Linked DNA regions of Ovis aries. The protein of the gene in region 1 interacts with the protein of each later gene in a pairwise test. Links are inferred from orthologs where the notes say so. Each region holds a gene or a part of one and is shown on either strand. Other genes may lie near its edges.

The links.
Region 2: the proteins of ZNF446 (region 1) and ZNF496 interact in binary tests that used the Homo sapiens proteins (3 or more experiments, as listed by UniProt). The two-hybrid records come from large-scale screens. The link is inferred for Ovis aries from reciprocal best matches to the Homo sapiens genes ZNF446 and ZNF496.

Annotation. Positions count from the first base shown.
Region 1 is NC_056067.1:66,377,356-66,381,294, forward strand, and holds the end of ZNF446 (zinc finger protein 446), read left to right. Parts: intron 1-402; coding exon 403-484; intron 485-605; coding exon 606-701; intron 702-855; coding exon 856-1,238; 3' UTR 1,239-3,439; downstream 3,440-3,939. UniProt on the Homo sapiens protein: May be involved in transcriptional regulation.
Region 2 is NC_056058.1:38,331,988-38,335,487, forward strand, and holds part of ZNF496 (zinc finger protein 496), read right to left. Parts: intron 2,857-3,500; coding exon 2,724-2,856; intron 2,211-2,723; coding exon 2,103-2,210; intron 1,028-2,102; coding exon 914-1,027; intron 1-913. UniProt on the Homo sapiens protein: DNA-binding transcription factor that can both act as an activator and a repressor.

The DNA.
Region 1 (3,939 bases):
GTGCCTGCCCTCTGGCTCTCCAGCCTCCCTGCAAGTTTGCTGAGGCCCTGGGCACTTTCCCTGAGGATCTCTGTTACCCTTGAAACCAGAGGCAGGGGAGAGGTGGTTGGGGTCCCCACCATTCCCTGGCCTTTTGCTCCATGCAGCACACGCAGTCCCAGGGCCATCCAGGGGTCCTCAGCTTCCTTCTGTGCGGCCAGAACCTGGGGTGGGGCAGCTGAGGGTGACTGGTGAGCCAAGAGGCAGCTCCCTTCCTGGGCCTGCATCTGCGGCACTCAGTGGTGAAGCAGGTGAGGCTTAGGTAACCTGCCACCCCTCAGGGGACCAGCAAGGCTCTGGCCAGGATCGGCCTGGTGGGTGCGGGGTCGACAGTTCTGTGGGTGATGGGTTGTGTCCCTGCAGGAGTGGGGGCTCCTGGAGCCGTCCCAGAAGGAGCTGAACTGGGATGCGATGCTGGAGAAGTACGGCACGGTGGTGTCCCTGGGTGAGGCCCCCTCTCCTTCTCTGGGCCCTTGGGCGCACCTTGCCTCCCAGCGCTTCCCAAGGGCCCCCCGTCCCCTTATTCGTGCGAACCCCTCACCTGATGGGCCCCCTACCTCAAGCAGGGTTGACGCACCCCCTGCCTGAGTCGCGCACCGAGTTGCAGCCGGAGGGGCTGAGCTCCGGATCCGGATCCGAGGGTCGGAGAAGCCTCCGCCCAGGTGAGTGACCTCTCAAGGTCCCTTGGTGGGGGTAGGCGTGCAGGTGCGGGTAGGGCAGGGGCGGGGGTGGAGGATGGGGGCGGGCGGGGCGCCCAGGCGGCCCCGGCTGGACAGTGCTGGGTCCCCAGGTGACCTGGCCTCCTCTGCTCCCCAGGAGATGAGAGCGAGGGCCGGCCCGGCGGCCCCGAGGCCCCGCCGCCGCCGCCGCCGCCGCCGAGGAGCAAGCCCTACACGTGCACTCAGTGTGGCGGGGCCTTCGACTGGAAGTCGGTGTTCGTCATCCACCGCCGCGCGCATGCCGGCGGCCCGTGCGCAGAGAAGCCGCCGGCCGGCCCGCCCCCGCGCGCGCTCCCGGGCCCACGCGGCTACGCCTGTGAGGAGTGCGGCCACAGCTTCAGCTGGAAGTCGCAGCTGGTTATCCATCGCAAGGGCCACGCCAGCCAGCGGCGCCACCTCTGCGCCGACTGCGGCCACAGCTTCGACTGGAAGTCCCAGCTGGTCATCCACCGCAAGAGCCACCGGCCCGAGGCCCCTTGAGTGCAGGAAGGGTGGCCTCCCCATCCCTGCGCCGGTACGGCCTGGAGACCTGGAGGCCGCCCAGGACCCTGGAGCAGGTCAGAGTCCCAGGGGATCCCCCGGCCCCCCTCAGTCTCCCCCCGGAGCCAATGCTCCCCGTCTCCTGCCTCCCCCACCGCAGCTTTCTGAGAGGCTTGGGCTCCAGGCCTCCGCCAGCCCAGTGCCGCCAGGGGACTTGCAAGCTCCCACCGGTGACCTAGTGCAGGCTCCCCCGACCTCTGGGACCACTTGGCTTGGTGACCAGGCCTCTCCCACTCCTCCTGCAGAAGCTGGGCCCGAGGTCTGAGTGTGGACGGGCCAGGAAGCCCAGGAGAGCATGGCCCGCTTCTGTCTGCAGCCAGCTGCAAAGCTGACGTTTAGCCACTGTGCGTTTTAGAGTTTTAACAGATTCTAGTTTTAAACTGGAGACATTTCTGCAGAAGAATCCTGGTGTCTAGTCTCTGCTGGTTGGATCAGAGCACCTGCCCTCCCGCCCAGCCCCTAGAGCTGCCGAGCACCTGACCCCCGAGCGGGACCAGCGTCCAGCCCACCTGCTCCTTGGCCGCACACCCCACTGCTGGCTTTGTTGTCCCTGCCTGAGTGGACGTGAAGGGAACGTCTCTCCAAGGATTTCTGGACAAGGATGGGCTCTGAGAACAGATGTCACTTAGGCCTGTAGGCCGGCGGCTCAGGGCTGTGTCCCCACAGCCTGCACAGTGGGTCACCCCCGGCGGCCTGTTTGGGTCGTGGGCAGTCGTTCAGGTCTTGGCCAGCGTCCTGTGGTGCTTTGCTACTGCTGCGATGGCTGGAGACAACACGTGTACCCTCTTGGGACTCTGGATTGCGTCTCCCTGGGCCCAGTCACGGTGTCAGCAGGACTGGCTCCTCCCGAAGTCTCTAAGGGGGAACCCACTGCAAGAGCTTTTCTGGCTTGTGGAGGCCACTGCGCCCCTGGGTTTGTGACCCTTCGCTCCATCGGCAATGCTCGCCGTGGATGGTGCGGTCCCACACTGCCTACTTGTCAGGCCCTCGGGGCTGCGTCCAGAGTCCCCAGTAACCGTGGTGATCCTCGTCTCAGGACCACACAGCTTCCCCATCCACCCACCCTGCTGCTCTCATCTGCACAAGCCCTTTGCGTGTGAGGTGACATTCACAGCTCCAGGTGTTAGGACGTGGACGTCTTGGGGGCTGTTAACTCGGTGCACTTCGGGGCTCCATTCTGCTCTAAAACAAGCATTTTGTGGGAGGTGATTTCAGGGAAACAGATGCGCCCAAGGATTGAGCCCCCTGCAGACTCGGGCACATGCAGGGGTTGCAGGAGGGTGTTGAGTGCTGCAGTAACCATCGTTACTGGGCAAGGTGGAGGACACCTGGATGGGGGTGGGGGGCTTACTGCAGCCTGAAACCGGGAGGGAGAAGCCTTCACCCCAGGGACCCACCTCCTCCATGCCCAGCCTTCTGGGGCCTTTGAGCTGTTGCCCATACTCAGGCCTGGGGAAGCACGGCCAGGCTGAAGGTGGAACTGAGCACCGGGGATCTTGTTACCGCATCCAGGCTTGTATCGTTCACTGCATGACAGGCTGATGAACTGAGAGCCTGAGTGGTTAGGGCAAGGAGTTGCGCCTGTATTCAAAAAGCCAGCAAACTGAGACGATAGGAGACTTGTGCCCCAAAGAACCGTCTCGTCTGTGTTAAAATCCAGGCTGCTCTTACACTGAAAGGGGATAGAGTCAGGTGAGACATTTCCTGGTTCAGAGGGGATGTGTTCATTTCCTCCTCCCTGTAGACATTCACAGGTAGGTGTGGTCAGGAGGTCTCCTGTGAGCTAAATGAAGGAATTCTAGCTTAAATGCTCACTACCTGTGAGTCAGGGCTCCCAGAGTTGGGCTATTATGTATAATTTAAGCTTAGAAGCAGCATTCCTCTAGTGACTGACTCAGGTGACAGAATTCAAAGGTTCTTCCTCATTATAACACAGTCTGGCTGGCAGCCAGAGGTGAGGTCTGTGCTGGGGTCACAGAGGAAGGTGCCAGGGCAGGGCCCAGTCACACACAGATGGTGAGGGGCGGGTGGGGGTGGATGGGCAGCATTCTTGGGAGAGTTTCCTTATTTGAAAGTAGTTTCTGCTCACTTAGAAAAGTCTGAAATATACCAGAGGACAAAGAAGGTCACGAAAACGGTCACTGATGCCGCTGTTTTTCTCGTGTTCACACAGGGTGGGGTTTTACAGCGGGAGAGGCCCCTGCGCGTTGTTCTGAGCCGCGCCCTTCCCGCCCACCTCCCTGCGCTGCTAAAAATGGGACGTGTCATGATGCCTAGGTGGAGATTCCACTTCCCGGGTTTCTGCCAGGCCCTGACGGTTCCTTGTCCGCCTCCCTCGCGGCTCCCGGTGCCATGAGGACACACCTGAGCAGACCCTCTGGGAGCAACCTGCGTGTTTCCTCAAACAGACTCCCGCAGAGTGGGAGTGGCGAGTTTTCTCGAGCGTCAGATTTCTGTTCATGTTATTTTCTTTTTCTTCTTGTTTTAAGAAACAAAACAGATTACAGTTCTGAGGTCAGGAGGCAGGCATAGGTCCTGCAGGCCTGCTTTCCTTCTCTGGTCTCTGGGAGAACCATCGCTACACTTTTCCACCCTAGAGGCGGCCTGTGTGTCGCGCTCACCGCCCTTCCCCAAACCTAGG
Region 2 (3,500 bases), on another chromosome or scaffold:
CTGCTGTAGATTTACAAAAACAGAAAATTCCTTTAGTCTACACAGGATACGGGGTGAATACAAATGACTGTGAACTCTGCATGATACTAGGTGGAAATACCAGAATATCACGCAAATCTTGCCTCCAAAAGGTATCAAACTGTGCATGAGTCACTGTATTTGCAAAAAACCCTCTGTGACACAGTGGATTTAAGTGAGGACTGGAGACTCAGAGTCTAAATGTTGCCGGGCACACTCTCCAGTGGTCCTCCTTTTAGCGTTCTGCTAACCTGTTCTTTAATTGCAACACTGTCCAGGGACTCTGGTCTTTATGCTCAGAGACGAAATACACAGACCATGTGTCCAAAAGCACTATGTCAGCACCCTGCCTCAACCAACCCTCAAGAGAAAGGCATGGAGGGGAGGGCCTCAGATTGGGAGTCAGCTGGAAAAGATCCTAGAAAAACAAAACTAGGGCGAGCAGCCTCAGGAACTCTCAGGAACTGTCAGCAGAAATTTCAGAAAGTTCAATTCCTGAACCTACATCACCCCCCCCACCACCAACACAGACGTATATACGTATACAGCACACACGCATGCACATATACCACATGCATAATTCCACACACACAACACAGCAGACATTATATAAACATATAGGTACCATACATAACTGCCAGCAGGCATGCTCACATGCGTACAACACATGCCATACACCCTACACATGTACACATCCACACACAATACACCAAACATACGACACACACATACAGCATACACGCCATTACCACATTCATGCACACACACACACAGATGCACATGTACACATCATACCCCCATGCTACATGCACTCACATACTGCACACATACATACTCAAGCCACACATCACACACAGATGCACCCACCCCCACACCCTCCTAAGAATTCCTTTACCTGGGCAGGTGCTTTGAGGGAGCGCTGTCTGCTGGCTTGTCTGGAACTCTGGCACCTGCAGCTCATCCCGCTTTCTTCTTTCTTCTACCTGGAATGGCTGGAGACTTGGAAAGTCTTTCCAGAGAAGAAAATGAAAAATTCATTTTTCCTGCTGCTGCAGCACTACCTGGAAGAGGGTTCTTAAGAGATGCCAGGCTATGATCCAAGAGCAGGCCTGGGCTCTCTCTCAGGGCAGTCACTCAGTAAATTAATGTGTGATGAGCAAATGAATATGCAGGCAAAATGGGCCAACACCATGAACATGGGCTGTGAAGCTAGACAGCATGAACGTGGATCTGGGTTCTGCCCCATCCGCTTGACTGTGGACAAGAACTGCCATCCATGCTGTCCCTTTCACTTTCTATGGTGGGATTTCCAGTACTCACGCAGACACTGCATGAACACAGTCTGGACAGTCTGCTGGGGCAGAGATGGGATGGGAAACTGGGCATACCAGAGGCCCTGGCTGCTTGCTCCAGGTGGGGGTGGCGAGTGGAATCTGCTGGGTGCCAGCTCAAAGTCCCAAGAGAAAGGAGGCCTGGGAGTACTGCTGGCATGGTACAAAGCTTTTCCCCTGAAGAAGCAGGCATCTTACGGCATTAAAGCACAGTGGTTACAAACATAAGCTCTGGTGACATGGAAGGCTGGGGGTGGGGGTAGGCGGGTGGGAAATGCTGCTTTTAAGCTGTGGCATGTCAACCAAACCCCAGCACCTCCCCAAGCCTCAGTTTCCTTATACTTCCTGCAGTATGTGGCTGGAAGAAGACAGGTGAGGCATCCAGAGGCACTGCGCCCAGTGCCCAGCCAAGAGGTGGCATGCCCTCCTCTTCTCCCACCTGACTTTTGGAGAGTATCTGACCTCACTTACAAAGGGGTAATTGCGTTGTTACCACAAGCCAGGTGTTACTTACAGCGGAGGAGAAAGATATTCCTATTATATCCTAGTTCCTGGTTGAAAAAAGGCAATCCCCACACCTGGGAAAATTGAAATACCACATTCTTTCCATAAGGAATGAGGGATGAGGCAGGATTCATTCTACCAAGACATGGTCCAGGGGTGACAGAGGGCTCAGAGAGTGGAAGAAGGAACAGGCCTGCCTCTGGCTGGCAGCAGCCTTTCCTTCCACTGAGTTCTGGTATCATTCCTCACCCAAGTAGGAGACCTGGGACATGTCCTTCCCCTGGAAGTCCTGCAACTCTGGAACACGTGGCTCATTCTCTTCTCCCTGGGAGAGATCCAGCTGGGCAGCCGCATCGTCTATTCACAGAAAAGGGAAGGATATGCATTCATCAGGCCTCTGCTCCCACAGGAAACCAGGGTGGGAGGACAGTGGTGACTCTGAGACAGGTAGAGGAGAGAGAAGTTGGAGGGAAACACAACACACCAAGAACACCAACAGGGGCCATGCAGGGGAAGTGGAAGGACCAGAGCAAGCAGGGAGAGGGCAGGGGAGGGGACACTAAAGGGGAAGTTGTGGGCTTGGGATAACTCTTTCAGTCCTATCAGAAAACCAGCAATGAAAAGAGTCAGAATAAGAATGATAGAAGAAGAGTAAATGCAAGGGATACAAGTTATATTTGGTTGTGTATGTAAAACAGTCAGGTAACAAGCCTAACTTTCATGTGATAGCACCAAGCAATGGTTAATCTGCAGAGTGGCCTTGACACCACTGTGCACAGGTGCCTCCCATTAGGGTATGGGGGTGGACAGTGAGGTGATATGTGGACCCCCAGGTCCCAGGTCTCAGGAGAGAGCTGAGTGAAGTCTTACTTGGAGGCAGTGAGACCCCACAGTCTTCTCCAATGATGAACTCTCCGTAGAAGCCAGTCTGGGCAGGGTCTAGAAGGGACCAGTCCTCTTCTGAGAAGCAGAAGATCATATCCTTGAAAGGAGAAACCCGGTTCTGAAACCACAGAACAAGTACACCTCAATCCAGGCACAAGCTAGGGGAAGGATGTGGGAAGGAAGATGAGTCTGAGGCAGAGCCCCTAGCAACATATACAGCTGGGATAAAGACAAAGCAGAGAGGCTGCTCCAGAGCTCACAGTCTCCCCAATTCTAGCCTGATATCCACCCTTAGATGTATATGGTTTGGCAGAATCCAAACAGTGGATACCTCACAGGGCGGCCAAGGATGTGTAGGACAGGTCTTCCTACACAGTGCTGGAGAGGCTGCATATCTACAACCCCAAGCAGGCAAATGCAGAATGTCCGCAGATGATCAATGTAATGCAGAGATCCCAGTTCTAGAGTTTATTCTGCACATGTGCAGCAGGAGGTCTATATGAGCTCCTCTGCTGCAGCACTGGTGATGACAGTTAAATTTATTCTCAACAGAAGACTGTTTATGTATGCTGCAGAATATCCTATAAGGCATAATCACCAGTATTAGAAAAAAATAAGAGCTTATTTGTCCTGAGTAGGAAGTCCTCCAAGGTGTACTGTTACATGAAAAAAGCATCCTGCAAAGATGGTCTAGGTCCCACCTAGAAGTCTTGATCATTGGCTGCTTCTGCAGAGTGAGCTAGGACTTCCCAGATAAGTATA